Rhinolophus ferrumequinum: one gene and its partners. The protein of the gene in region 1 purifies or fractionates together with the protein of each later gene. This does not show direct contact. Links are inferred from orthologs where the notes say so. Each region holds a gene or a part of one and is shown in the gene's direction. Other genes may lie near its edges.

Region 1 (10,379 bases):
TCCATAAATAATACCCATCCTGGAAGATGAGATTTGTATGGTACAAAGTTGGTGCTCAACAAACATTAAATCTCTTTCCTACTTCCTGATAAGACTAATCAGCTCGGACCCTTGCTCAGCAAATATCACACAGGTATCATCTTGGCTGGATAGCTTGGCTTGTTCCATACTATTATTCAAAAACACACAGTAAAGGATAAGGACCGTGTGTGGGGTTTTCTCTTTTTGTTCCTCCCAATCCATTCTCCACTCTTTGCCATGTCCTGCCATCTCCTTTTTTTTTTGCATCTGTGGGTCACTAGCTTCTGAGGTTGGGTCCTCTAGAAACAGACACTAAAACAGAGTTTTAGTTTTACGGGATCAACACCTATGAAAAGAAGGGGGAGAGACCCGGACTGGGCAGAGGGGAAGTTGAACTGCAATATAGGCTCTACAAAGCTTTAGTCAACCCAACAGGGAGGGAGCTCTGGAGTGAGGCGTGCCTGCCAGAGTGTCTCACATGAAGCTGAAATGGCCCTGTCTTTGTACTTCCTTGTCATTTACTCACTAGGTTCACTAGATCACCTAGGAAGGGGTAAGGTGGCTCTCTGCAACTGATGTAGACCTTGGAGTGGCTGCCAGGCAGAGGCTGTCTGCTAACTGCATTTCCCGCAGCTGAGCAGAAAGTCTTAACTTGAAGAGGGTGTGTTGAGAGCCATCTCCATGTCTTCCACACCAGTTTGAATCTCAGTGTCTCCTGGGCCTTGTCTCTCTGTGCATGTATCTACCATGGGAACTGTTTCCAAGCGCTCTGTTCTAGTGCCTCTTCACTAGTAAACAACAACAACAACAAATCCAGCTTCATCAGTTCAAGAAGTTCTCCCAAGTAACTTCTAATCAAATTTCTCTTTCTTATAAATTACCAGAGTAACAGGCAATTCGTTGAAGGAAATATGCTCCCACTTTAGGAAATGTGAGATATTACGAGAGAAGATAGTACTATACAGTATCAGAAACAACATCACCAAGAAGTACAAGAGCAGCATTCATGATTATGTCTTTCTATTCTCATGAAAAGGGATGCTCTGTGATATCATCTCTCAGACACTGAACATGTGGGTGGCTTTCATGATTCCTTCTTTAGCTTGATGCAGTAAGTTCTCTTACCTCCTGTATGGTTTCTGAAGGATGCTGTAGGCCTTCCAAACCAGTATTCCTGAGTGAGTGTTACCATGAAACCTTCTTTAGCAGCAGTACTATATTTTAATATTGACACACACTTGATTTGCAAAATGCATCAGCCAGATAATATCTGGCTAAGTTAATATGACTGTTTTTACAGTGAAAACTGATACTTTATTTAAACTAAATACTCTTATCTCTTGCATGCACTTCCTCTTCATTTGGGTTTATTAGATAAGTTAACATTGTGCTACTGTATTTTCATATATAATTTCTTGTTAAATTATATTTAAGTAATGAGTTGAATATAAAATTAGATCACCTGAGTGCATTAAGTAGCAAGAAAGTGGGAATATTTCTAGCACGTACCTTAGGAGCAAATCTCTCCAGGATGGTATCTTAAGCAAGGATTTTCTTCTCATTTTTCTTGAATCAAATCTCATGTAGGCCAATCAATAGACAAACTTAAATTTATCTGGGTTCTTTTCTCTCTTAACTTAGAACATAATTAAGTCAGTTAGTTCAAAATTTAGCTGTAGTATCTTTAATGTTGAATACAAAAAAGGATAAAGTACATTAATTATTGAATATTCTCAATTTGATATTATAAATTACGCAAATTAGCTGAAGAGCTAATCCTGTTTTAAATGTCTTTGACAACTTATATATTTATAGATTTTCAAAAGCATTCAAGAAACCAACCTATACCTCTTTGAGTGTGCGTGTGTACAGCTATGCAGTACTCTGATTACAAGCCAAATGATCTGCAAATTCATGCCATATTAGATTCTTCCTAAGGACATAAAAATCTTTGATTTGAGAAAGCAGGCTTCCTACTAATTGTTGTTTTCGGAAAACAAGCAAAAAAGAAGAAAACATACTTCCTTTTTTTAGGACTTTGAAAGCAAATGTCCTTCACTTTAGCTTGCTCAGGTGCTGGATATTTGTCTCTCTTATGTCAGGCACTAGAGGGGAGTGTGGTGTCATACATACAAGAGCTACATTCTGCAAACCACACACACGCTGGCATGCCCAAATACAGGGGAAAGCTACAGCAAAGACGGGCTTAGAAAACTATTTCCTCAAGATTGAAATAGGACAACTGCGATTTTCAAAAATCTACTGAGATCTAGTGTTATACAAAAAATTCCCAATATAGGGCTTTGATCCCTTTTAAGTGACAATAGCATTCAAATAACTTGTTTGCCTAACTTTATTGGTATTTTTGAAAGGATATATGCTCGCTGATTTTTAAAAGAAAGTCCAAAACTATGGAACAGTACAAAGAAGAAAGTGAATACAAGTTGAAATCACATCATATAGTTCCATTGTATGGGGGAGCATTCTTTCAGACATCTCTAACTCTCTCTCCATTTATAGAAATATGCAGACAATTTTACATACATGGAATAATACTGTACCTGCTCTTTCTGGAATAGAACTGTTGCGGACGATATCTTTCTGTGGCAGAAGTAGATATCTTTCTGTGGCAGATGACTGGATTCTTGGTAGGAAGGCATGGTGGTTGTAAGTAGGGGGAAACACAGTGCCTAGGTTTAAGTTTCTTCTCTACTAACTATGTGATGTTGAAGTGATTTAACCCTTCTCTATGTACCTCAGTTTCCTCAAATACAAAAATGGGGATGATAATATTACTTACCTTAGAGAGCTGGTGTGAGGGTTAAATCAGATCACATATTTAAGTGTTTAGGACAGTACCTGGCACATAAGTACTACTACATTTTAACTAGTATTCTTACCTAAATACAAGATTCAACTTCATAGTAACACTGAAATTTTTTAAAATATGAAAGTGGGATAGTTTTTCAAAATAACTTTCATCATGATATTTCAAAAACTTTTTGTGACATAAATTGTTACTGCTTCTACATGTAATAATAATACGTACTTTCTCCATTGATGCTGATATTTGCATGCAGCAAATACTCAGTTTGTACTTATTGACTGACTTACCTGAAGTTTTTAACAGAAAGAAATGATCTATCTTTTCGTAGAGGCTTGTTTAAGAAATGTTGAACGCAAGGTGCCTTTAAGAGAGACAGTTTCACATAGGCCACCTTTATAAGACATGAGTCCAACTAAAAATTCCTGTTAATTATTAAACCCCAATGTATTATCTGGATACCTGACACTGCAGATTGAGAACAGACAGTGTTTGTCTCGAAAGTTAAGCCTAAATACCGATAGAAAAATGTAGTTTTCAAGGGATTTCTTTAAAAAAACTATACCTTTTTCTCTGGTATTTAGAAAAGAGAGTGGGGTATCTCCTGTTTTGGGAGGCCATATCTACAACCTATATGGTTTAAACCTCATTTGGGATTCTTGCTTGTTTTAGCATGGCGGAGCTTGGAGTTCACAGAATCCTTCTTTTGGTTATTTCTCTGACAAAGTGTCTGGAAGGCACAAAACTGCTGGCAGCCTTTAAAAAATGTGGTGACTTGGAATGTGAAAGTAAGTTTGCTTTTCTTTTTTTTCTTTTCCTCTTAAATTGAGGCTCTGAAATGAAATAAAATGTTATTGTGGACATGCATGGTAAAAATGAGCATTGATATCATTGAGAATTATTTATAAAGTATAGTTCAGTAAAAAAAGAAAATGTTGAAGACATTTTGTGATTTTTTTTAAATGTAAATATACAAAAAGGCAAAGATCAGCCTGATGTATAATTATGTCAGAAATTATCAATATATTAATCCAGACCTCAAACTTTTACTATTTTTTAAGATAAATATAATTGATTTATATTAGAAAAGATATCAAGCCATTTGATATTTCTTGATTTATGAAGCCCCGATATTTTTCAGTTTCTATTTCACAATCAGAACTTTCTGATTCTCATGAGTTCTCTAAAAATGAATTTATTTCAAACCATCAGGATATACTGTCTAAACTTTATCAAATATTAATAATTTCTAAGTTCACTAGTTATATAAACATATTGAAATCAGTGTTGGCAATATATAATTTTATTTATACCCTTGAATATTCAACTTTATATTCTATAAAGGTATATTAATGTTATTTTATTTATTTATTTTCATATATATTTTGATTTTATTACAAGATATTTTAAATTTTTGGCAGATACAATTGTGACAGAAAACCAGCTTCACACACAAAATTAATCTTATTTTCTTGCTTAAGAACTTAATTTATTTTCTGTTATTAGCATTCTGGTGTAAAATGAATTACATACTAATATATTATAATTGCTTTAAATAAGGTTTATCTCTCCAGTATGTGAGAATTATTTCTGATTTGCAATATGTAAATTAAAAATGGAAAATATTATTAGTGTAAACAAATAATTTACAAGCAAATGTTTTATGAGTAAATATTTTCTTTAACCATTCGGATGTGTAATTTAATATGTTGAGGTTTACTAGATAATGTTTTATAATAATAATAATCTTTCTTTCCCTCTTTACAACCTCATTTTAGTTACCTTAAGGCCAGACGCAGAACATGGAATGAGAATATTCAAATTTATAATGTTATTTTAACTTTGATTGCATAACTTAATTAAAATGTTTTACATATATTAATATAATTATAAGTTAATTTGGTATGTATATTACTGTATGTATTAAATCTAGCATATGGGTTATGATCATTCATAGTTATTGAGGGCCTGTTATGTGCTGAGTCTAGATGGGGGGGATGAATCTAAGAGAATAAAATGAAATGTTAAGATAAGTTTCTTGACCTCCAGGAATTTTCATTCTACGGAATAAGTGAGACAAGATATTGATTAATTAGTAAACACTGATACAACCTAAGGATAATAGGTAATACTGAAGTTCAGAGAAGGGGCAGAGTAAGCTAAACGGATTAGGGATGTCTCCCAGAGGCAGTAGTTATGAGTTCACCATGAAGAGAAACCGAAGGGTTTCTAGGTTTAGGAAAGAGCAGAAAGAAAAGCTGGGAATACAGAAGATAGATGATACAGCGAAAAGAACCTCAGTGCAAATCTTGGCTCCACCATTTGTCAGGTGAGTGACCAATTCTCTGAGACTTAAAGTCTCATTTGTTAGACTGAGATGAGATGAGATTATTTACCTCATAGGTCTGTTTTGAGGATTTAATAAAATAAAGATATAAAAGAGCTTAGTATAATGGCTGGAATACATAGGTACCAGGAAAAACATTAATTATCTTTTCTTTCCCTTCCCTATTCACTGGAAAATGATAATGACACATTCCAGGGACAATGGATAGAGGAAATTGACTGTAAAGGAATCAGAGGATGTCATTTTAAATAGGGTAGGAGGACCAGGTAATGGACAGCTTTGGATACCGAGCTAAAATGTTTTGAATTGATTCTGTGTGCAGTGAAAAGTCTATGTAGGTTTTTGAGACCATAAATTATATAAAGAAAATTAGCATGGAAATACATAGGATGGATTGGAAAAGAGCAAGATGGGAGGGGGAGAAATAGCATTTTAATTTAAATTGTGTGTTTTTCTTTACATGTTTACATAGCGTTAATAAGCAGAGTCTTAGCCATAAGAGATTACAGAGGAGCTGACTGCCGATACCTGAACTTCACTAAGGGAGAAGAGATATCTGTTTATGTCAAACTTGCAGGAGAAAGGGAAGATTTGTGGGCAGGAAGTGTAAGTATCTAGTCTTAAAATCTGAATGCAGAATAAATGGCTAGCTTGTACAAGGATGCCTGCTTTTCATCTCTAAAGGAACTTAAAGAATTCCAAAGTACTTTTTATACATTTTAAAAACCCTTACCATATTTAAACAAACAAAAATGGTCTTGTTTCAGTATTGGTTCCAGAATATCTATGAAGTAGCTTTTGGGAAGGCAGTCTGGTTGGCATGGAGAACTAAGAGTGCTTTGAGATTATTTTTACATAGCATTCGTAGTTTTTGAACGTAAATTTTTATATTTACTTGGAGAGACTTTAGAGGTGCCCATAGAAATTATGGGATGACCCCAGCCTTCCCTTGCATCCTATGGTGCTGCCAATGGCCAAGTTTAAGAGAGACTGGGACCTTTTAGCTTATCATATTAAAAAGGCACATCTTGGGGTGACTTGTTGGCTCAGTTACTTAGAGTGTGGTGCTAATAACACCAAGGTTGCCGGTTCAATCCCCGTTATGGGCCACTGTGACCTGTGCCTTCCTTAAAAAAAAGAAAAGAAAAAGAAAGGCACATCTTTCTGAGCAAATAAAGGACTGAATTGTTAACTGAAAAGGTCCTCAGAAAAATTAGTAGCCCAGGGAAGCAAAGTATATGAACTTTTCATGGAAAACAAGAACTGGCCCAAAAAAGACTTTGACCCAAAGTCCTATTACACTGAAATTCATTGAAGCCAGAATCATCTCTCTGAATATATAACACAGGAAAATTAATGATTAATGTTTTCAGTTGAAAATAGGTTTGTATGGGGCAGCCGGTTAGCTCAGTTGGTTAGAGTGCGGTGCTCTTAACAACAAGGTTGCTGGTTCGATCCCCGCATGGGCCAGTGTGAGCTGTGCCCTCCACAACTAGATTGAAACAACTACTTGACTTGGAGCTGATGAGTCCTGGAAAAACACACTTAAAATAAATAAAAGTTAAAAAAAAATAGGTTTGTATGTTTGATTATATCATTATGCTTTATAATGAAAAAATGCTATGATAAGCATTTTTCCCAAGCTGAATAAGCATGACCAACCTGATACATAACATTATTTCCATATTGCATATGCATCAGATCTCTCCCTCTCTCTCTCTCTCTCTCTCTCTCATAGACTCTGTGGTCACTATTTGAAAGAACAGATTCTATTTGGATCCATCCTGCTTTTTAGCATCAGGGGCTGTATGACTGAAACTGACTGTCACTGGCCAGAATTGTTTGTCTGGCCTCTGCAGCTCCCAAGATTCCTTACTGCTCATGGTCCCTTAAATATGCCAATCTATGTCTTGAATGCATTAGAGACACCCCATGCACCTATAAGAAAAATGACACAGTAGGTATAAGAGGAAAAGAAAGCATTCTTTCTTGTTTCCTATGCCTGAAAATGATAGTTCCACACAAAAGCAGCGTGTAATGTGTGGAGCCAGGGTGAAGTTTCAAGCATATATAATTTTATGCATTAGATGTTTAGTCCAGGCAGATGACTGTTTAAGGAAACACACTGTCAGTTCACCCACAGGCTGTCAATTTCCAAATAGTTGCAGCAACTGCAGAGCTGGAAGAATTACAATGAAAGTGTAATGCTGCTGGATTGAGGGACCAAAAGAAACATGTTATTTAAAGCTTGATAGGGATAGGAAATGGGCTGAGAATGGTTGTGTGAAGCCCTCACTCTCAGGGGACATCCTACATGTACTTAAACCGGATTAAGAGGATCTCTGTTACCAAGGTAGCCTCAGAAAAGTTGAATGGAACCAAATCCTCCCTGGAGGACTCACAGATCTTTACTATCTTGATGAATCTGTCTCGGTCCTTCAGAATTTAAACCTTTCACCTAATTTTGACATCCTGAAAATGCTGAATACGTCACAGCTTTATCTAGCTTGGCTACTCCCACCTTTCGATATCCCAGGTTTACTAGTGTACATCTGTGGTCCACCTGGGCAGGGAAAGTCATTAAGGAACACAAAAAGGAAGAAAACGAGTGTGTGGGATGGTTCCCCTCTGAAGTTTAAAAAAGTGGCATTTGATAGCTTTGCCTCTTTGTTTCCTCAAACTAATGCTGTTCTTTTGAATAACAAAAGGAATATAATATCACTCACTTTCTCTTAGATGGCATATTAAAGCCACTTAATATTTGTGATATTTAAAATAGATGAAAGCCAAGGACATGGGGCAAAATTACTTACTTTTTTTTTAAAGATTTTTTATTGGGGAAGGGGAACAGGACTTTATTGGGGAACAGTGTGTATGTACTTCCAGGATTTTTTCCAAGTCAAGTTGTTGTCCTTTTAGTCGTAGTTGTGGAGGATGCAGCTCAGCTCCAGGTCCAGTTGCCGTTGTTAGTTGCAGGAGGCGCAGCCCACCATCCCTTGCGGGAGTTGTACCAGCAACCTTGTAGTTGAGAGGTCTCACTCCAACCAACTGAGCCATCCAGGAGCTCAGCAGCAGCTCAGCTCAAGGTGCTGTGTTCAATTTTAGTTGCAGGGGGTGGAGCCCACCATCCCTTGCAGGAGTTGAGAAATCCAACCGGCAACCTTGTGGTTGAGAGCCCAGTGGCCCATGTGGGAATCGAACCGGCAGCCTTCGGTGTTAGGAGCACGAACCACCTGAGCCACCAGGCCGGCCCCCAAAATTACTTTCAATAGTTTATTGCTTTGATTACTCTTCCTTGACGACCTTTTGTTTTTCATTTTGATAGAAAGGAAAGGACTTTGGATATTTTCCCAGAGATGCAGTCCAGACTGAAGAGGTGTTTATATCTGAGGAAATTCAAATACCAACTAAAGTGAGTAAACTCATTTTGGTTATTAATTGAATTTAAAATTTCTTGACTAAAACAGTTTTCTGACGTATAAGTGCGCACTGGTTATGTGTCTTGTATAGTGAATATATAAAATCGTTGGTCTGAGAACACACATTAGGAATAGTTGGAGAATGTAAATAAAATTAGGTAAGACGAAGCTGATGACAAACAAAGATTTTGCTTCCTGAAAAATGAACAGACAGGCCGTGGAGTATAGTGGCTAAGAGCATGGATTCTGGGGGTGGACTCAGTTCAAAGCCTGACTCCGTCACTTAGTATCTAGCTATGTGGTCTTCATTTTCTCATGTGTAGAACGAGGATGATGATTATAATGTAGTGCTACCTCATAAACTTATTGAAGAAAATATGAGCATATGTAACGTACCTAGAACAGTAAGTGCTACGTAAGTGTTAGATATTATTACTAACGTGATTGTGCTACTGGGACAAAGTTTATTTCCCCTGACATTCTTGTTAAGAAACATAATATAAATGGATCCACTTTAAAATGGAACCGTAGCTGCCATCCCAGAGGAACTGCCTTGCATGTCTTATGCCTCAAACTGTTGGAATGTTCAAGCAGGGCAAAATAACCTTTGGACTGGGCCTGTGTCCCAAAGAACTGTTGGCAATGATAACAAGAAAGCAGATATTCTGACTATATGACTGAAAATTAAAAACATTGTTTAGAATTAGCATCACCATGTTAGCTTATCTGCACCAATAGAAATGCCTTCCTTCTATTGATATAATTGTTCCCCTTCCCTTCCTCATAAATACCCCCTTCCTTTGCAGTCCAGACTGAAGTCCAGACTGAATTGGAACGCTACCAGTATTTGGGTTTCTGCCGGAATCAGTGATTCCTAACAGCTATTTTTTTTTTTAATATCTCACATAAATTCTTCTTGCCTCTCACTTTGAAAGGCCTTGTATTTTTTGGTTAACACTCTCTAGATCTCGTATCTGTACAACCTCTTTTGCTGTTAGAGTTTTGAATAAACTTGATAATATTGGGCTTGATAATGAGAAAGGGAATCAGAAGGTGACTTTTTAATATATGAATTTGATTAGCCCATTTAATTCAGATTCCAGAATAAGCCAATTTACCTTAAGTGAGACCAGTGTCAAGCGAGGCTGCCTAGTTAGGCAAACTATTATCTGGCTCTTTCCCAGCACTAATTCTGGGATTAACTGTCCACTTACTGTATAATCACTGGTCCTGTTAGTTCTATCTCCAAAATACATCTGACTTTATTGTATTCTCATCATTTCACTCTCCCGCAGAGCCCTAATTCATTATCATTATCTCTTAATTAGAATACTGCAATAGCCTTCTAACTGATCTCTTTCCCTCTCCTTTTGCCCTTTCCCAATTCATTTTTCAAACAGCAATGCATCTTATAAAAACAAAAAAATCAGGTCATGTCATTCCTTTGGTTTAGAGCCCTTTGATGGCTTTTCATTGAAGCTGGAATCAAGCCCTGTCTTCCTTACCCTGGTTCCACTTGATCTCCTGTCCCTCTTGCTGACCCTATCTTATGTCACTCTCCACTCACTCGCCATCTCCTGGCCGCCCTGGACTGTTGACTGTTCTTAGAACGGGCCAAGGTCTTTCCCAGCCCAGCGCCCCAAATAGGCGATTTTCTCTGGTTGGAATGCTTTCCCCAAGTTCTTCACTTTGCTAGTTCTCTCTTATCCCTTAGGTCACAGCTTAAACATCCGTGCCTCAGAGAGGCCTTCCGTGGTGATTCTTATGG
Region 2 (10,379 bases), on another chromosome or scaffold:
GATATTTGTATTCTTTTAAATATTCTTGAGATTTGTTCTGGAATGCAGTTAATTTATTTGGAAATATTTTGATCTTTTCAAGACTTGTTTTTGAGTTTCGATAGAGTAGTTTTCAATCTTAGGCTGATATTTTACCCTTTACTGAGCACTCTACCTGATGCTCTGTTTACTACAGGTTTTCCATTCTGGCTGATGGGAGCATAAACTATTCTGTACTCGAACAATTATTTTCCCTGTCCTCCCCAGTGGTTTAAGGTTGAGAGAAATCTTCTGCAAGTCTCTAGAGCTCTTTGTCTGTGAAGTTCTCTCTTTTCCATGCAGCTCTCTTTTCCTCTGTACTGTTCCCTACAAATCCCAGCTGCTTTGATCTCTCCAAACTTACAAATCTGTCTCTTCAACTCAAGATCACCTGTTTGAGTTTCCTTTCTCTGGTTGTGGCATGGATACTTTATCCAGGGAGTAAGCTGAGGCAGTCATAGCACTCACCTTATTTGTTCCACTTATCAGAGGGATCATTATCCCATACTGTTTGTTGTCCAATGTCTGAAAATAATTGATTCACATATTTTGTCTATGTTTTTATGTTTTGTTTTGTTTCAGATATTTAACATGAGGAGGGGAAGGTACATGTGATCCTATTACTCCATCTTGGATGGAAGCCACAGTCTTCAGTATATGTTTTACACCATTCTCTGGACTCGAAGTGGTTTTATCATTGGTGATAGACTGTGTTCTTCCTGGTAACTTCATTGTTAAGACTCTAGATGTTCCTGGGCAGCCATCATGGGAAGTTTACAATGATACATGTTATTATGCTGTATTTTATTTGTTTCAGATGTAGTTGTCTTGTCCTTTTCAATCCAACCACAAATTATTCATGATCAGGAACTCTCCTTATCTTATATTTTGATATTTTGATCCCTTCCCCCCACAAACTACAAATTTATTTTTTTAACTCTTACTCAACATTTGCCCAGTGAAAATTCCATTTGAGGTGTTAACAAACAATACACTTGGGATTATACACACACACACACACACACACACACACACATACACACTGGCAGGAAGAATTACCACTACCACTCTCATTGTGAGAAACTGAGAAATTTTTTCTGATTATCCATCAAGCTTGTTAATATCTCTTTAAGGCGATAATAATGATTTAAAAGAATACAGATAAACCGAAACTCTGGAAATCTACCAACTCTCATTCTTTATATAAAAGCATCTCTGAATATTAGTCAAAGTAAATATTAGTAACGTAATATTGATTTGATCAGTCGTTTTGGAATTTTGCTTTTCCACCAATGAATTGTCATTATTTCTACTCTAAATAGAAATAAGTAACATTAGTATTATCATTATTTGCTTTAATATTCTGGTAGTATTTAGGAAAAAGTACAGTGCAATTTCATTCACTCCCTCCATAATAAATATGCCTTCAATCAACAAAATATATTCCAGGTTCTGTTCCTGGTGTTGAGAATGCAACTGAGGGGAAGACAGAAAACGACTTGCTCTCATGGCATATTCCTTCTTGGTACTGTTTATATATGGAGGCTCTGTGTAGAGTAATAGTGTACCATATTTATAATATGTGAGGAATCACAGTTTCATCCAACAAATCATTAATTGAGTACCTCATACATTCCTGACATTTTCCTAGGCACATAATTACAGCATTGGACAAAACAAATTCCTTGCTCCCGTGGAGCTTATACTATTTGGGGTAGGGGGACAAAGAGATAAACAAATGTAAGGCAGGTGGTAAAGGCTCTAAAGAAAAGAAAAGCAGGATGATGGGCTAGATAATCACGGACAGAGCTCTACCTCGTGTAAATGATCAGGGAAGGCCTCTCTAATAAGATAAGGTGTTGTTACAGACCCTGGATGAAGTGAGGGAAGTAGTTAGCCAGGTGAACTAGTGGGGGGAACTGTTCCAGGTTGAGAGAAAATTGCAAGTGCAATGCTTGAACACAGGAACGGGTTTGATGAGTTTGAATGGAACTAATTGTACAAGGGGAGAGTGTTAGGAAATGGAAGTCAAAGGGATGACCAAGTCAGATCAAATAAGACAGTGCAGTCCATGATAGTCATTCATTGCATTTTACTTGGAGGTGGGAAGTCACAGGAAGGTTTTGAGCAGAGGAGCAGAGGTTTTGAACATGACCACATTTATATCATCACATTTATATCATGAAATGACCATGCTGGCTGCTATTGAGACAACAGACTTTAGGGAGGTAAAAGCAGAAGCAGGGAGAACAGTGAGAAAGCTATTGCAATCTTTCAGGCGAGAGATGATGGCGGCTCGGCCTGCAGTGTTAGCATCGGAGATGGTGAGAAGTGCTCAGATTCTGGATGTTTCACTCAGATTATGCTGAGTGAAAGAAGTCTGACCAAAAAAAAAGATAACGCATACTGTATGATTCCATTTATATCAAATTCTAGAAATTACAAATCAATCTATAGCAACAGAAGGTTGTTTGCAGACAGGCAGGGGAGGGAAGGGAGGGATTACAAAGGAGCATGAGGACTCTTAGGGGTGATGGATATAATTATCTTGATTGTGGTGATGGTCTCACGGGTATACATATGTCAAAACTTATCAGATTGTACACTTTAAATGTGTGCAGTTTATTGTATATCAATTACACCCCAATAAAGCTATTAAAATAAAGAATGCACAGGATTGTCTGGTAGATTGGACATAGGGTATGAGAGAAAGAGATGTCAAGAATGGTTTGTAAGTTTTTGACTTGAGCACCTGGAAAATAGGAACTAAAGTGTCATTATTGAGACGGGGAAGATAAAAGGATCAGGGTTTGAGAGACAAAATAAAGAGTTTGGTTTTTAACATCATAAGTTAGAGGTGCCTGTTTGGCACGCCTAAGAATCTAAAGCAAACAAACACATAGTAGAAAAGAAATGAAAATCTCCGGAGGGCACTACTACTTGGATGCTCGGTGACCTTATCCATTGTACATTCTCTCCAAACAGCATGGGAACTACACTGGACCAACGGGACATCTCACGGCCCCTATAGACGACTGTGAACACCTCTGGAAACATCCCGTCTTTTCCTTTATTCAGCATTATGGATTGCATGGATGGGCCACATTCTTTCCTCTTGCTTTCAAAGAATCCAGTTAGTTTGGGAAGCCAACTGATGGGTTTGACTGATGTTCCAGGTGGATGAATAACCTTAGCAGAGACTGCAGTGAGGAGCCTCTGGCCACAGACAAATGCCAAGTGCTCCAACCAGAGCCAGAATATTGCCGCCACTCCTCCCTCGGCTGACATGTGGCTTTTTTTTTTTTTTGTGTGTGTGGCATATATAGATAATTCAGTCATATTGTAATTTAAGCAAGATTTTGCTTCCTCTAGTCAGACAGAAAGAACAGAAATTGCAATGTTGCTTGATGGAGGCGTTATACAGTTATGATTAAAAAGGAGCATATTACCTGGTTTGAATCTTAGAGTGTGAATGCCTCAATTTACTCATCTCAAAAACGAAGACAGGTAGTAATAGGATCTACTATTGTTGTGAAGATTAAATGAACTGATACACATGAACACCTTAGAACAACACCTCATCCTAAAGAAAGCACTCAGTAAATGTTAGCTGCCATTAATTAGCTTTCTCCTACTCTGACATTTATTCAGTAGTCGTTCTTATGCTTGTTGGTTTCCACTAAATTGTGGGCTTCCTTAGACAAGGGCCAGTTATCTTGTCTTTGACCTACATATTTCCGCACACCACCCTAGTATTTTGTCCAATGTCTGGCGTGACATGAAATGGTAGCATAAAATGAAAGCTCAACACATTCGTGTTGAATTAAATTACTTCTTCCCTTATGGATAAAGTCCCAAGAACCTGAAGATCTCAGCACAGGGACCTATTGCCCACCTCCATCCCCCAGGGCTCAGAAAGTGACCAAGCAGGCCACCGGCTGTAATTTACATCACCAACGCACCACTCCACTCACACTCCGCCTTCCTAATTAAAGGGGATCATGGGATGGGGCCCCAAGAACCCCCGGGGGTCGGAAGGAGAAGGAGCCTTGAACCAGGACTAACAGTGGCAAACCGTGGGTGGGATTTGATAGTCCAGAAAAGGAAGTACCCAACCAAGAATGGGGGTTGGGGGGTGAAGTGGGCTGGTTTGGGACAAACCAGAAATCAGAATCTGCGAGGTGCCAGCAGGACCTGTTGGTGAGACACAGCGAGGTTAGGGGATCCAAGGTCGCAGAGAGGGGTGAGCGAGGAATGGAATGGCGCGGAGGGTCGCCCGCGAAGGGACAGGGGCAAAGGCAGGCGATTGGGCGAGGGAGAGGATATAGAGTCCCGGTTGCCAAGGCAGCGAGCAGAGGAGGAGGCCTCGGGGAGAAAGTCGCAGCTGCGGTCCTCCTCCGGGAGCCCTCCATCCCCTCCCCGAGCCCGTGCTGACGTGTCAGCCGGGAACAACTCAAACCTTCCCGGGCGCCGCCCCTCCGCGCCGCGCTTCCCACCCGCGCTCCGCCCCCGGCACCGCCCGCCGGCGCCCGCCCCGGCCTCCTCCACCGCGTCACCGGCTCCGCGAGGTGACCACAACATGGCTGCGGCGCCCGGGCTGCTCTTTTGGCTGCTCCTGCTCGGGCCACCCTGGCGGGTGCCGGGCCAACCGGAGCCGGACACGAATCGGCGCTTCTCGGAGTATAAACTCTGCGCGGACAACGAATGCAGCAGTGAGTGGCGGGAGGGGGACAGCGGCGCCGAGGCTGCGCGGGGGCGGGAGCTCGGCAGCCCGCACGCCGACCGGGGGCTCGCAGGCCGGGGTAGGGGTGATCCCCGGGTCCCTGCCTTTGTGCCCTGCGGCTCTGCGGGCGCCCGCTGGCCCTGGCCGCTGGGGGCTGCACCTCCCACTTGTTGCCGGCGTTTTATTTTTTCATTGCTGGCCCGGCGGGGAGGGGTGTTGGGGGTTGGAGGTGGCCCCCGTTTCGGGCAGCTCCCAGCGTCCGCTCCACCCGCCCGCCCGGCGCGTAGCGGAGATGGGGTGAGCGCCGCGCGTCCTGCTCCCCACGCTGCCTCCGAGCGCTTTCCTGTCCCCGCCGCGGCGACCTCGGTGGGTGCAGCCCGGGGGCAGATGCGCTCAGGGCTCGGTGGGTGGATTCTCTGCGGCAGGTTGATGGTGGGGCTCGGGAAGGGCGCCCTGGCACTGCCCCTTCGCCCTTCTGCTTCACTCGGATTTGGGGCTCATACAGATAGATTGGAGTTTAGATTTGGGACGAGCGCGGAGTCCAGGCAAGCAGAGTATTCCCATGTCTCCGCCCCGGCTCTGCCTCAATCCTGTCATTTCTGTGCTTAGAAGTCCTTACAAGCAGCCAGGCAGGGCGGGCAACAGCAAGGCCAAAAATCTTTCGTTCTGGAAAGAGGCTGAGGATATGAATCGGCCACCTGGGACCATCAGCCGCCTCTTTTTTGCGCAGGAAGCGGAATTGTTCCCATCTTGGATTGGGGGTGGGAGGGTGTGGAGAGCTGAGGTCTCAGACTCAGATGAAGAGGATTTTGAAAGTAACAATAATAAATACTCCAAGGATTTTATAAACCCAACCAGCTTTAGCTTTAGTCACTGTGTTGTTGGAATCTCTTCCTAGGTTTCTGCCGAACGAGGATCATTCTTAACAGCCTCCCGACTGGTCTCACACAACCTTGTAACTTACTGATTACCGCTTTGGAATCGGTTGTTCATAAATTGTAATTGATACATACTGAAAAATATTCATTCTGAAAAGGCCATAAGCCTATAGTTTAGCCATTTATGTTCAAATTGGTGTTATTCAAAAACAAATTACATAATTTGAAGAGTTTGTATCACTGCAACACCATTAAAGAAAAGAAAGGAGGCAATCTTTGATTTGTGTTGAGCCATTCCTGGAGGTAACCCCTAGGGTGGATGTAAATAAACACGACAAAAGCAGAACAACTTCCATCATGATTTCTTCCTTTGGTTACTTACCCCTCCTCTCCCCCCAGCAAACTCAGGTTGTTAACAAACAGGGTTGGCTCTGGCAAAATGCTTGCTATTCTTTGCTTTCAAGCACTGTGCTGAGTTCCTCAAAACCAGTTGCCTGGAGATCACATCCATGATGCTTCCTCAGTACAGAAACATGGTGTTGGAAAGGCCCTTAGTTGTCACAGAACTTGAGAAATGGCATGTGTCCAGACAGATGTAACAAAATATAGCAGGCAGCAGCTGGAGCAGGGTCTGGATCTGTGTTGTGTGGCATGGGCTTTTCAGATAGTTGTTCACCAGTATACATTATGTTGTTATCTCATTTATTACTATAAATCCTCAATGATCTCTTCTAACAGGGACCAAGAGAAACATTGCTATCTCCAGTTCTGATAGAGTCTCCAATCTTATACTGTCCATCACCTTCAACCTGGCCTCTTATCCAATTACCTGTGAATTAGGATGCTGATATGTATTAAAATAATCAGATTTTAGCTTCAAAATCCAAAACTCCTTCAAATCTATGTTTGTCCCTCAAATATGTATTTAAAAGTATGTTTTAATGTATTTATTGCTAATTCGCTTTTAGGAAAAAAGGTTATTTCCATTTTATCCTTCTTTTTCGCCTGCTATTTAATTGCATTTATTGTCCATTTCATCTTACACCAGAAACTGTATCTGGCCAACAAAAAGAAAAATACCAGTTTCTAGTTCTATCAGTCCTACATTTTAGGACTGAAGGTAACTACTGAACAAGTCTCACAGTTAGGCTTGTCCCTGCCACATGTGATGATGTCCACTTTTGATTTTATTTATAGAAATAAGTAAATAAGAATGCTTCAACTTTGTTTTGAAAACTTCTTAATGTTGGGTACAGTCAACATTATATACTTTCAGAAAATACTACCTTGTAATGTGATTGGATCCATAATAGGATTTGACACCCTTTCCTGTTAATTTATTCAGATGTTGTAAGGACAGAACAATTTGGCTGCAGATGACACTGACAGTGTTTATGGCTACGTGGTAGCAGTTAGAGCCACTTAAAGATAGTGCCTTTTAGGGGTTAGTTCAAGTTAATTGACCCCTTGGGGGTTCCTAGGTGCTCTCCCCAGTTTCCTATTACCTCTACATGTAGTCATGCTTAAGCTAGTCAGTATCTCTACTTGAATTTACCCGATTGCAAAATAAAGCTTTTTTATGATTATGAAACAGCAAAGATCGAGGACTAGAAGGTGAGAGAGGGAACGAGAGTTTCACTTGAGACCAGGCAAGTGTGGTGGACACATTGCTTTTTGTTTCATTATGCATAGAGAAAGCCAGGAAAAGTTTCCCTCATCCCCGTCTACTTGCAGTGGGTGTCATGATTTATAACAATAAACCTCTAAATATGTTAGATACTTTGAGCATGTGAATTGAAAGCGACTGGTTCCACAGAGTACTGGAGAAAGTGAATTGTTTACAGTGGGTTCTTACATTTCCTGATAAATCAATGTGGACTGTGAAAGTTGAATCCTGACATCCGGTCATTTTTTTCCTCTCTTTATATACAGTGTTAATGTACCGGGGTGAAGCTCTAGAAGATTTTACAGGCCCAGACTGTCGTTTTGTGAATTTTAAAAAAGGTGACCATGTCTACGTCTACTACACACTGGCAGGGAGATCGCCTGAACTTTGGGCTGGAAGTGTAAGTAAAAATTTGACATACTTTCTTTTTTGACTTCTTACTGGCTTGTTTAGCACTGTAGATTTAAATAACTGTTTTGCTGGGTCTTTGATGGTGTTAACCTATCCTCTGTGCTAGAGTGTGAAAAAGATTTGGGTCCCCAGCAGGCATCAGGCTTGGCACAGAGTAGGGGCTCAGCAGAGGTTTCCTAAACAGAACTGAACTGCTTCAAGTTCTAGACCTGATCAGCCATGGGTGCACCAGATGTAGTAAAGGTTAAAATAGTGCAACCTGGAAATTCTTAACTCCATTGCTTCAAAAAGGGAAGATTTATGAGCATTAGGCTTACTTCTATAAATTATGTGCAAGATAGTGTTTTGGGCATTCACAATTAAAGTTGATTTTGTGTGCGTTTCTTTTTTTCTAAGTTATTAATATTTGTGAAAAACTGGCAGCTTTGGGAACAGTTACATAATCGTGTGCCATTCTTAGTCTGTTAAAAAAGCAAAATGTCATTTTCACTCTGTACTTTGTTTGTTTGTTCTGTTTGCAACTTCTAGGTAATCTTTTTCCTGCTTTTTAGATATTTGCTCCTAGCAGTTTCCCCAGCAGCTCTACTGCACCCAGTTCTACGGGTGCCCTGATATGAGACATGGAAATCAATGCATCATGCTTTGATGTTTTGAATGAGAAGATTCACTAGGAGTGACCTGATTGAGAGGCTTATGAGATACTGTCCTTTCCTTTTTAAAAAGTGTGATGTGTGGACTGTTTATCGAAAGTAGTAAAAGTCCTTGATGTCCTTAGGACTGTCCAAATTTAGAGATATATACAGTCCCTACTGTGAAAACTTTCACTCTCAATAAAACACCAAACAAACAATAGAAAATAAGACTTGAGAAACCACCATAAGGAAAAAATAGACTCATTTTTTTGGCGGTCCAGATTCCTAGGGAGAAATCTCCAAAGGCCAACTGGTCTAGATACAACCCTTGTATTTAGGCAGAATCCCAGCTGAATCCCTCTATACAAAGAATCTATTCTGTTTCTTTCAAGTCTACCACATGAGACTTCTTAATCTTTACACTTGGAGAATTTTCCCCATGTTCCTAGCTTCCTTTTTCATCTAGCGGTTAAGTTTGAGCATTTGAATAAGTGAACTTGACTTGCATTTTTCTATCTCCACACTTTTATTCACAACCGTATTCACCTCTGGAAAGCCTGCCATCCTGAGGCCCAGCTCTCATCCTGCCTTCTTTGAGAAGCTCTGACCAGCCAGAAGGATCTCTGCTGTCTGAGAATAATTTAGGTGGCACTGTATTTGCACTGCTTGTGTGGAATTTTTTTTTTTTTTACTGCTCTGTATTGCAGGTAGTGTGTAGAGTGACTTAGCTCCTATAAAGTTAAAAGTCCTGTTACTGGAAGGGCCCATGTGTAACCCACCTTCCTTTTGAATATTTCCTTTCAGGGCGGTGGCACTTAATTACATGTGTCCTGATAGTAAATAGCTTGTGCAGAATTTGTTCTCTTGAAACAATATTCTACTTTTTTTTTCCCTTCAAATCAAATCAGCAGTTCCCTAGCAGGGATGATGTGTGGAAGCAAAATGAGATATAAAGATCACTTCCTGTCATGAAGGCCCGTGATTCTGCAACATTGTTGTTTGTCAGATCATAAGAAATGAGACACCACCCCCGTGTAAAAATCCGGAGTTTTATGACCTGTGGTCTCAATTGACAAAGATTACACCAAGATAAATATATTTCCTTTCTCTGCAGATCTCTGATTTCTTTCCCCTTTCCAGAGTCTCTCTTAATGAAGTTTTCTGAGAAGGGAAAAAGCGTATTTTCCCTCAGTCTCCCCTCTCATTTCATGAACCTTATATTTTAGGAAATAAAAAATTCTTTCTCCTTAACCTTCAAAATGATTCTTGTTTCTAGTTCTTAGTTTTCATCCTGCAGTCTTTTTCGGTTTCTTCAAGTTTCAGACTTTAACTGCCAATGTGGCAGTTTTAAATTGGCCTTGTCTTATCTAATCTCCAAGGCAGTATTCTACCACTAATACTGGCTTTCAGGTAGTTGCCAGATATAACAAAAGCACTCATAATGAGGATATTTTAGGAGTTAGTGATAAGATAGCCTTTTTTCTTTTTGTGCATTTGATCTGCATATCCGTCTCCTTCTTTAATGATTGGGAAGAGATCTGCTCTCTTTCAGACTGTAGCTAGTAAAAGACAGTGTATGTATCTCAAGAGGACACATTTAATATACCTTGGCTGTTAGTGCTGTAGATAAAAGGGATAATATTCTACAGAGGTTTACTCTGCATAAAACTAAAGCTTGATGTGTAGATAAGTATGACTTTTATTTTCTCCCCAAATACTTGAAAGTCTAGTTTTTGAAAACCCTGATACAGCCCATAATGTCAATAAATATTTGCCTTTTGTTGTGTTGGTCATACATGTCAGAAATTTTGTATTTTTCACCTATTAATTTTAATGGCTGGTGTTTATTGGTTTAAGAAAGACTTACAAGTACTGGTTTATGAGCAATGCTGTGAAATGTTTAGGTAAACTTTTGCTAAAATTAGAATTGTGTTTCTAACCAGCTTTGATTTGCATCGTTTTAATCCTATAGTATACAACAATCTTCTATGCTTCTACTTCAAAAATCTAACTTTATGTGCCCTGCTTTTAGAATTAAACTGAGTGTTGAA
Region 3 (10,379 bases), on another chromosome or scaffold:
GGCGAGGCTGAGCCAGAGGACATCAGCATTACAGGCAGCAAGGGGTCAGGGGAACCAGAGTGGCAGGAGACCAGGATGCTTGCAGAATCCCTGATTCAGGTTTCGAACAAAAGCCTGTAACAGAAGACCTCCACCTCCCTGGAAGAGGACTGAGGGCAAGTCTCAGATAGAAATCTGGGTCAGAGTGAATTGAGGGAGGTAAACGAAGCAGAGCGGGGTGTATCCACCCTGTAGTGACTGTTTATCTTTCTCCCACGTCCCCTCATTGCTCAATTGCCTTGTGAAACACAGCCCAGAGAAACCCTCGTTGGTAAGAGCTCACAGCACCAGAATACCCTCCATTCCTAGTCCCATCTCAGCCCTCACCCCCCAAACCCCCTCATCCAACTCCATTCTACCCTCTCTCCCTATAATTCTCCTCAGATCTAACCTACCCTGGAGCATTTTCCAGCTCTTCTGACCCCAAAGGTGACATGCGTTTAGGGTCTTGGTGAATCAGCCTGGTACTGGCACATGAAGTAGAGCCAGAAATGGACTGATTCTCCCAATGTCTTGGGCTCTGTTTCCCTCTCTACAGGTCCTATAGGCTGTGTCTTCCTGACCCATTCAGATAACTGCTGCTGCCCCTCAGCTCCCACGAGGCAGCTCTGATTCTCCATCCCTATACATCCCTCATCAATGGCTGACTGCAAAGAAGTGAGACGCTGAATTTAGACCCAAGCTTCTGCCTGAACACCCAGACAGCCTGGTGCTACGGGGCTGGCTGTCTCCTTGGCCTGCCACCAACAGCTGTACCAACGCAGCCTCACACTGCACACAGAAGACCTTGGTTTCTCAGCTAAGTCTGACCTCAGAGATTCTGGTCCTGACTCTGCCAGATCTCTAATCTCTGGACTTGACACCCCAGTCCTTTCTGGACTCAAGGCAATGCTGCCTAAAAACAAGGACCAGGTGCTTCTACAGAACACAGTGCCCCCTGGGCACCCCCTTCAGGGCCCCTCACAACTTGTGGACTCCCATCCCCCCAACCTTCAGCCTCTGCCTCCCCAGAAATCACTCACTCCTTCCTACCCACCTAGCTTCCTTTCTCCACAGTCCCATTCTCCTGTCTCCCATTTTTATTCTTCTGAGTCATATTCTGACTTTGCCCTACATCCCTACTCTTTCTCTCTCCCAAGTTCTCCCACTTTCTTTCATCAGAATCACCCCTCTCTCTCCCTTTCACGTTCCTCCTCTCCCTCCCAACGGCTATACCCCTCTCCTCCTCCTCCTCATTCCTTGTCTCCCTCTGAGCCAAAGAACTCTCTCTCCCACTCAGGCTGCCAGACTCCTTCCCACCCTGTAGACCTACTTAGCTCCCCTCTTACTTCCCCAAGCCCCAGCCTACCTTCTCCGGGGATCTACTCTAACAGGCAGACATGGCACTGGCATCATCAGTACCAGGACACCAGGTCCCCTGGGGTGGTGGGGGAATGCGTGGCAAGCGAGAGGGACCCTGCAGAGTTCAGGGACCCCGGAGCACTGGCCAAGGCCCTGGTGGCCCACTTGGGGCACCGCCGCATTGCACACGACCTGCGGCTACTGCTTTTGCAGCACCTGTGGCTAGGCAGAACCGGCCAGGCTCCAGTCGTGGAGTATCCCATATGCCTGGTGTGTCTCCGGCCCCGCAGCCCCTCTTGCCCCATCCCCAGTTGCAGGACTGGACCCCGGCTCCTGGCCTTCCCCCAACTACTGCCCTGTGCACAGGGCCAGGAATCCGGACCACTCCGCCTAGGCATCGGCTTTGGCCTTCGCCTGCCTCGTGGCCAGGCCAGGGCTTTGCACCTGTTACCAGAAAGAAGGCCAGAGGAAGTAGGGTCTCAGGGCAAGGCCCCTCCCGCCTGTGGGTATCCAACCCAGGCATCTCGGGCCCCAGCAATGGCTCAGGCCCGGGCAAATTCAGCCCCAGGCACACCCTCCCAGACCCGGAGCCTCAGGTCTGCAGGCCCTCAGCCGTCAAACTCCGCCTGATGTTCAGAGCCTCCACCTCAGGCACCAAAACAGGCCACTGTCTCCCTGAAGCCCAAGCTTTCCTCTGCTCCAGAGAGGCCTGCCTCTCTAGAGCCCATTCTCCGAAAGACACCACCTTAGTTCCAGAGCCGCGGAGGCTCCCTGGAGCACCTCTGCTAAACGCCACTGTCCCCACCAGGCCCCAGATCTTGGGAAGCCCCCAAGACACCCTGAAGGGCTGGCTGGCTGGAGGTCAGGTGTGTTCTCCAGTCTTGAACCCTGGAAGCCCCTTGTGGAGTCTGCTCTCTCCGGGCTGAAGAGGACCAAGGGCATCCAAGGCCCCATTCAGCCTTCAGTGTATCCAATAAAGCCTGACCCTGAAAAACCTGTGTTTGTGCCCTGCTGAGCAGACACAGTGGGTACCTATGTTACTGGAAAATGGGTTCTTGGTTACGCCTTAGGAAGGAATTCAGGAATGCACCGAATAAGCAAGCAAGCAAAGCGAGCCAAGCCAAGCAAGTAGAGGATTTGTTAAAAGACAGAGAATAGACTCCCAAAAGGCAGGAGTAAGCAGGCCAAGAACAGCAACTGCGCCAAAGAACAAAGAAGTTTAGGATTTTATTTGAATGAGGGCACGAAATATTCAAGATTTAGGGGTGGCGTCACAGGTGTGAGGACAGGTTCCTGCTGTCCTCGCTTATCACTCCTTCCTGTGGGGAGGTGGGATTCCCTTGTCTTTACTTGGCCCTTGTTTGAACTGTCATATGGTGACATAGGGGGTAGAGATTTTTTCCCGCCCATAATGCTAATAATATTATAATCTATTACAATTAGCTGTAGCTGCACCTTAAGAATGATCTCATATCCTTTGTTTCCCTGCACTTCCTTCTTCCTTCCCCTTCCCTTCAGCCGCCCAGTTCTTTCTGCCTACAGTAGCACCTTCTGGGGGAGTCAAAGGAAACAGTGGCCAGGGACAGTGGATGCCATGTATCTGAGGAAGGCATGGGATCCACAAGGCCTGAGCACCTGAGATGTGCAGAGGGCTCTGGCAGACACTTCACACATGTAAAGACAGATAATGGCATCCCCAAAGACGAAGCCACTGGGCCCCTTCCTCTGGGGGAACCTTAGGTTGATAAGATGCACGCTGATGAGGCCAGGGGAGCAGCAGATGTATCCTTGCAGGAAAGGGCACTCCTAGCGTTCACTTGCCGAGAAACACAGGGACCCTCTCCTGGGAGATTAGAAACCCCAGGGCCTCCTAGGAGGGTGGGGTGTCAGGCAGAAGTGAGATCTGCCCGGCTGGGAGCCAGGTTGCCTGTCTCTCAAGGTGTCAGAGGGGAGCAGCCTCCACCTACAAATCCTCGGGAGCCACTCCCACCACTGCCTGCCAACCTTGGGTGGTTGTTAAGGTAAATAGTGGGTTCCTCAGACGAGGAAGCAGTGGATTCAGAATTTGAAGCCAAGTTCGTTCGAAACTCCGCACTGCCTCCATTGAGAGATTACATTGCCCGTGCGTGACCTTGGACAAATCACTTCCTCTCTGGGGTAAAACATGAAGGCTGAGCTGCATGAGTCTGCGTGTCACTCTTGAAGGGTAGACAGCCCTAATCCAAGGATTTCTTTATTAAAGGTTTATTAACCTTCCTTAATCTTTGTTGGTTCCCCTTCCTCCTCCAGAATCCCCGAGGACCTTCCCGCGAAACAGGAGAGCACCTCTCCCTCCCCGCAAAAAGAGGTCGAAATTTGACGTCACGCGGGGGGGCGGCGACCAGAACCCTGGCGCTGGTGTTCCGTCACCTACGGCCCGCCAGTGCTGACGCGTAATGGCGGGTCTGCGCCTGCGCGAGGAGAGCGAGCTCGGTGCGCTTGCGCGCTGAGCGTCTGCGAGCCCGACTTAGCCGGCTGGGGGCAGAGACACTGATCCCTGTGTGGTTCGAGTTTTGGCCACCCGGCAGATGTGAGAGGTGTCGGGAGTCCTCCCGGCAACGACGGGGCCAAGTTCAATCGCGGCCGGGACAAGAACCGAAGGCCGGGCGCAGCATGTCCCGGGTGCCGCCGTGCGGACAGTGAAGCGAGCGGGATGGGCCGGCGCCGGGCGCCAGAGCTGTACCGGGCCCCGTTCCCGTTGTACGCGCTTCAGGTCGACCCCAGCACCGGGCTGCTCATCGCTGCGGGCGGAGGAGGCGCCGCCAAGACCGGCATAAAGAATGGCGTGGTGAGAAAGCGGGGCCGCTGGGACCGGGTCACTCCACGGGCTGAAGGCGATTCCGGGAGGGTCGCAGGGTCGGGCCGCACCCCAGCTTCGGACCCTGCCCCTCCCCGGTTGAAATCCCCGGCATGCCGGATATCCCGGCGCGAATTTCAGCCGAGCAATTGATTGAGAGACTCCCGAGGTAAAGTGAAAACTGCTCTTAGCGCTGCGTTGGCGGGAACGCTTTAAACTCGACCACAGGAGCAGCTCCGGGGGTCTTATCCTGGGCTTTTCCAGGGAGGCCACAAAGACTTGTCCGTCTGCCCTCTAACGGCGGCGAGAGTGCTGCGTTTGGTCCTTAGGCTAGGTTTCTTCCTTCTAAGCGCCACCCTATTGCACTGTAAACTGGAGGCAATAACGCCAACCCTGCCAGCTGTCCAGATTTGCGGGGTTCAAAAAAAAAAAAGAAAAAGAAACAAAGGTTGGAGAAATCCTTGTGCACTAGAAAGTGCGGTAAGCAAAGGGGTAGAGCATCAGACTATAGGATGCAAGTCTGCCCTTGAGGTAAACTCCCAGCACCCCTGAACCTTGCTCATTGTGCTTCCCTTTCCCATAGCACTTTCTGCAGCTAGAGCAGATTAATGGGCGCTTGAGCGCCTCCTTGCTACACTCCCATGACACGGAGACACGGGCCACCATGAACTTGGCGCTGGCGGGTAACATCCTCGCCGCAGGGCAGGATGCCCACTGTCAGCTCCTGCGCTTCCAGACCCAGCAGCAGAAGGGCAAAAACAAGGCAGAGAAGGCAGGTGAGAAGCCCCCTCTCTAGCTTTGGAAAAGGTTACATGAGTGAGATCACTCTCATCTTGGTTTCTGTAAAAGTGGCGCTGGAAGTGGGGTTATGGTAGCAGTGCGAAGCTGGATATTGTAGAGAGGGACCTGGGATTACTATAGAAGACTGGAAAGTGACAGGCTGCTTGTGTTGCAGATTCCAAGGAGCAGGGACCTCGACAAAGAAAGGGGGTAGCCCCAGCAGAGAAGAAATCTGGAGCTGAAACCCACCAGGATGGAGTAGAACTCAAAGTAGAGAATTTGCAGGCAGTGCAGACAGACTTCAGCCCTGATCCACTGCAGAAAGTTGTGTGCTTCAACCACGATAATACCCTGCTTGCCACTGGAGGGACAGATGGCTACGTTCGTGTCTGGAAGGTGTGGTTTTGGGGGATTAGGAAGGATGAATGTCAGTAGCAGCAAGGCCAGAATTGTGAGAAACTGAACTTGGGTTCTAGGAATTTATGAGAGTGAAACCTGCGCTGCATGGCCATGAGAAGAGAGGAGGGGTGGGAATCAATGTGCTCTGCCTGGCTAATCATGGTGGTGGTTTGGCTGCAGGTACCCAACCTAGTGAAAGTGCTGGAGTTCAAAGCCCATGAAGGAGAGATTGAGGATCTAGCCTTGGGGCCTGATGGCAAGGTGAGGAGGTGAGAGGGTGGAGAAAGTATGTAATTATGCTGCGTGTTCTGTAAGTGGATCTCCTAACTGTTCATCTTGGAATCTTGATTCCTGACTAGTTGGTAACTGTGGGCTGGGACCTGAAGGCCTCCGTGTGGCAGAAGGATCAGCTGGTGACACAGCTGCACTGGCAAGAGAATGGACCCACCTTTTCTAACACGCCTTACCGCTACCAGGCCTGCAGGTGTGAAGACCCTGGCTGACCCCAGAGGGTCAGCCTCGATGTGGTGGGAGAGTGGGGAAAGACTTAGGGGAAACTGGGGAGCATCATGGCCTTGGTGGTGTTACCTCAGGCCTGACCAGGATGCAGGAGGGTACAGACTCTTGAGGAGGGTTGTGCAGGCCCCAGACGCTTAACAGCTTCTCACTTGGCTGCCAGGTTTGGGCAGGTTCCAGACCAGCCTGCTGGGCTGCGACTCTTCACAGTGCAGATTCCCCACAAGCGTCTGCGCCAGCCCCCACCCTGCTACCTCACAGCCTGGGATGGCTCCACCTTCTTGCCCCTTCGGACCAAACCCTGTGGCCATGAAGTCATCTCCTGCCTTAGTGTCAGGTATGAGATGATGCTGGCTTGGCTGGGTGTGAGGGTGGCTGGGGGAGCTTGGGAAGGAATCCTGCCTGAGTCCCTGAGGACTGTTTTTAGTGAATGAGTGTCGCTGCACAGGCCTCCAGGACAATGAGCATTTTATTGTCTGTTGCAGTGAATCGGGCACCTTCCTAGGCCTGGGCACGGTCACTGGCTCTGTTGCCATCTACATAGCTTTCTCTCTCCAGGTAACGGGTAGAGGTGGGCACAGCCCTGAGGTTTCTTTGGAGTGGGGACTCTAGGCCTGCTTGTACCCTGAGTGTGCAGGAAGGAGTCTGGCCTTCCGGTAGAGGGAAAGCCTTCTGGGGGCAGAGGGGATGTTTTCCAGAACTGTTCCCAATTGGGCCTTCCTTCACTAGTTCTCCTTCTGTCTCCAGCGCCTCTACTATGTGAGGGAGGCCCATGGCATCGTGGTGACAGATGTGGCCTTTCTACCTGAGAAAGGTCGTGGTCCAGAGCTCCTTGGGTCCCACGAAACTGCCCTTTTCTCTGTGGCTGTTGATAGCCGTTGCCAGCTGCACCTGCTGCCCTCACGGCGTGAGTCATTGGGGTGGGGGTACCACCTACCCTTTCGCTCTAGCAAAAATTTGCCCCCTGGAGAATGGGCTGCTTGCTTGTAGCCATCCCCCCTCCTTGAATGGAACCGGTTGAGGTTCTGTTCTTCAGGCTGTGAAGTCCCTTTGCCCCCTGACTACTTCCCTTACCCCCCTGCAGGGAGTGTTCCTGTGTGGCTGCTGCTGCTGCTATGTGTCGGGCTTATTGTTATGACCATCCTGCTGCTCCAGAGTGCCTTTCCAGATTTTCTTTAGCCTCCCTGCTCCCAGGGAGACTGCCACCTGGACACTGCCACCTTCTGGACCAGGGTGGAGGCCTGGACCCCGTTGCTCACTCCACCTCCACCTGGGTTTACAGCTGAGGTGGCCTTAGATGAGACTTGCTGGGTACTGCCTGCCCTTCCCAGTAAAAGCTCGGCTGTGGCCCTGTGCCACTCGAGTCCTGGGAACCCTGCATTCATCATCTGTGGATCTACCCAGGAGAGCAGTGTCTGCAGCTCCAGGCCACACCACCTGCTTCCTTCCCTCTGTCTACCAGAGGCTCCGGAGTTGAGCTTGTCCTTTCTCCAGAAATATGTGAAGATGCCCCAGAATCTGGAGGCACTGCTGTCCCTTCCTGCGAAACAATCCGTTTCTCCTCTCCTCACAACCTGTGGCCAGTTGCTCTTCACATGAGCCCCTGGCATTTGTTGGCCTGGGACTTGCTGTTAGGGAAGGAAGGGGCAAAAGGAAGACCCAGGCAGTAATGTGTGGGTTCAGCTGGGTAGCTGTAAGCCAGCCAGGCTAAATATGCAGTAAGTTCCCTAGCCTCGAGAGAAGGGAAGATGAACCTCAGTCCATTCAGCAGGAAAAGTTATATTTAATAAACAAGGGAAGACTGAACTGAGACCCCAGTGGTACTGTTGTCAGCTTTTGCCTCCCTCAGAAGGTGAGGGAGCCCTGAGGCCGAGCAGCTCTGCTGGATGCTGAAAGACAGCTTTGGCATACTGATGGAGGAGGCGGCTCATGTAGCAGTGCTGCCAGGGGAGCAGCCCCTCCAGGAAGCCGATGTGGCCACCCTGGGCAGTGACGAGCAGTGCGACATGGGGAGACTGTTGGGCAGCCTGTAAGGGGAGGGCTGGGGGGAGGGTTGGAGAGGAGGTCAGGAGAGCCCAGGCTTTCCACTTGCACCTCCTGGCCCATTGTCCTTGGGCCCTAAAGCATCCAGATTCAGGGTGCTCACCATGGACTGGGGAGAAGGGGTCATCGGCTGCGTTGAGGCAGAGCACAGGGATCTGGATGGCATCTACCTTGGTTCTTGGGCTTGCTGCCTCATAGTAGGTAACACAGTCTTGATATCCAAAGGCCACAGATGTGTAGCGCTCATCAAACTGGCGGATTGTATGGGCCTGTGGGTGGTGGAGGGCAGGATAGGCTAGGATGAAAATAGGGAATGGGAAGATACTAGAAGAACAATTTTGGGTGGAGGGGAGATGGTTGAAAGACTATACCTGTAGCACAAAGTCTACATTCACCACCTTTTCCATCACCTTTCTATTTCTGCAAAAGAGCGCTTAGAGGTTTGACTCTGCTCCTGGACCTGATCCAGAGCCCCCAGCCCGTTTTATCTTATGAGTGAAAAAACCCAGATATAGAACTGACCCAAGCACTGGGAGAACCTGGTGTCTTTGCCATCCTACTCTCTGCTTCTCCCTCCCACTTGCCAAGATCCTACCGGTCCACCATTTGGCAGAGCCCAGCAGTAAGGCGCTGATTAAAGAGCAATGAGTTGAGTGGGGTCTCCAGGGAGCGGGTGGTCTCAAAGGAATCCCAGCATGCAGATAGAGTCAGGGCTGCCACCAGTCCTGCAGCCTGCCCCATTCGTGCCAGGTGGTTCAGCACCAGTATCCTGCAGGATCAGGTCAGTGGCCATGGAAGAAGGGTTTGCATTAATGAGTGGGACAGAGGATATGGAGGAGGAAAGAAACAAAGGGAGACGGGGCATTTGGGTTAAGCCCAGGAAGACTTTACCCTCCAAGAGAGATGCCCACAGCCAGCAATGGAGCTTGGGAGTAGCGATGCTTTATGTGGTTCACGACTGTCTCCAGATCTTCAGTATTGCTGGCACAAAAGGCCCTGTGGGTCTGAGGCAAACTGGATCATTGGACAGGGAGGGAGGCCCTTGCCAGAAGGCAGAAAAATGGAAGGGAAATGGGGGAAGGATAGGTAAGTGGAGCCCCAGGGCCAAGGATCTCTCAAGGGAGTGGGTTGAAGGACTGAGGAAAGGGTACTCACCAAGAGAGCTTCCCCACGGCAGCCCCGGTTATTGAAGACGACAGCCCTGTGGCACACAGGTACACCTTAGCCCCTCCCTAGAAGCCCCTCTTTGTCAGCCTTCAGAAAGGCCCTGGTCAAAAGGTGCCTTTCATATAGCACCGTCTGAATCGACCTCCCTATTACCAGTTCTCACCCCCCAGCTCCTCTGGGCTGTGGCCTTACCTATAACCATCCCTCAAAGCTTGGTCAACTAGGTGCAATATGTATGCCTCCTGGCTATTGCCTGTGATACCGGGAAGCAGTAATACAATGGGCTGGGTGGCAGGGTCAGGGTGTTGACTGCTGTCATGCTGGCCAGCCCAGTCTAGCAGGAGCCGTCCTCCATCTGGGGTTTGGAGGACTTCACTGTGGTTTTGGAGAAAAGGGCACACAAAGATATCATTAGGAACTCCATGTACTTCCAAAGGTTTACCCCCTGCCACACCACAACTCCCATCAGCCTCACTTGAGGGCATGTGTTATGCCAAACAAGACTAACAAGGTATGATGGGGACATAAAAGATGGATTACCTCATGGTTGTGCAAAGACATAGCCCTCCATCTAGCCACTCTTTATTACCCTCAACACACCCAGGCATATGGTGCAAAGGTTACCTTCATTTTTAAAAGGTAGACAGGATTCCCCTATACTTGCAGCTTCACATTCACCCCTTTCTGTCCCTTCTTACCTGCAGTAAGGGACTAGAGGCCGAGACTGCAGTAAGACTCGGAAGATGGTTTGTAGCCGCCCCTCAAAACACCACAGCGTAGGGTAGAAAGTCTCCACAGTGATTGGACAGTGTTGCTCCAGGAAGGCCAGAAACCGGGACCCAGTCACCAGTTGAGGCCTCTGTAATCACAACACAATCGGCCTCACACCCGATGTTTGCACCAAGCCAGTGAGGCACCCAATACCAGTGACCCCTCTGCAGAGGCCAGCCTGGAGGGCACTGCTTCAGCTGCGGTGAGAAATCTAGCAAGTCATATCTGTTAATATCGTCTGCTCTAACCCAAAGAACTCCAGGAGTGTCACCCGTCCAGAACTGACCCTGAACTAGGGCTGGGTGCCGCTGCAGCTGACTGGGTGCTGAGACCCCCCCTCAGCCTATGCATGTCCCAAACCCATTTTGGAGAGAGCAGGTAATAGAAGTTGCCCAGCTGATCCCTTGCAGGAAGTGTTGGGATCCTGGACAGAGGCAGAAGAAATGCAGCACCATTCAACCTGCTACCTTTGCCTTGCAGTTGAATT

The links.
Region 2: the proteins of MIA2 (region 1) and MIA3 purify together in Homo sapiens (affinity purification with western blotting; 6 studies listed by BioGRID and IntAct, counting the BioPlex papers as one, with this or other methods). This does not show direct contact. The link is inferred for Rhinolophus ferrumequinum from reciprocal best matches to the Homo sapiens genes MIA2 and MIA3.
Region 3: the proteins of MIA2 (region 1) and PREB purify together in Homo sapiens (affinity purification with western blotting; 3 studies listed by BioGRID and IntAct, with this or other methods). This does not show direct contact. The link is inferred for Rhinolophus ferrumequinum from reciprocal best matches to the Homo sapiens genes MIA2 and PREB.

The regions. Positions count from the first base shown.
Region 1 is NC_046289.1:86,528,564-86,538,942, forward strand, and holds the start of MIA2 (melanoma inhibitory activity protein 2), read left to right. Parts: upstream 1-3,313; 5' UTR 3,314-3,518; coding exon 3,519-3,633; intron 3,634-5,664; coding exon 5,665-5,798; intron 5,799-8,517; coding exon 8,518-8,604; intron 8,605-10,379. UniProt on the Homo sapiens protein: Plays a role in the transport of cargos that are too large to fit into COPII-coated vesicles and require specific mechanisms to be incorporated into membrane-bound carriers and exported from the endoplasmic reticulum.
Region 2 is NC_046310.1:12,218,687-12,229,065, forward strand, and holds the start of MIA3 (transport and Golgi organization protein 1 homolog), read left to right. Parts: upstream 1-4,557; 5' UTR 4,558-4,597; coding exon 4,598-4,730; intron 4,731-7,551; coding exon 7,552-7,685; intron 7,686-10,379.
Region 3 is NC_046296.1:53,518,190-53,528,568, forward strand, and holds PREB (prolactin regulatory element-binding protein), read left to right. Parts: upstream 1-3,801; 5' UTR 3,802-4,072; coding exon 4,073-4,207; intron 4,208-4,799; coding exon 4,800-4,992; intron 4,993-5,171; coding exon 5,172-5,392; intron 5,393-5,575; coding exon 5,576-5,656; intron 5,657-5,754; coding exon 5,755-5,879; intron 5,880-6,074; coding exon 6,075-6,248; intron 6,249-6,396; coding exon 6,397-6,469; intron 6,470-6,658; coding exon 6,659-6,818; intron 6,819-6,995; coding exon 6,996-7,090; 3' UTR 7,091-7,728; downstream 7,729-10,379. Other genes in the region: PRR30 (proline-rich protein 30), read left to right, coding at 928-2,010; protein ABHD1, read right to left, coding at 7,741-7,952, 8,058-8,223, 8,326-8,374, 8,550-8,723, 8,846-8,958, 9,110-9,155, 9,314-9,496, 9,820-9,980.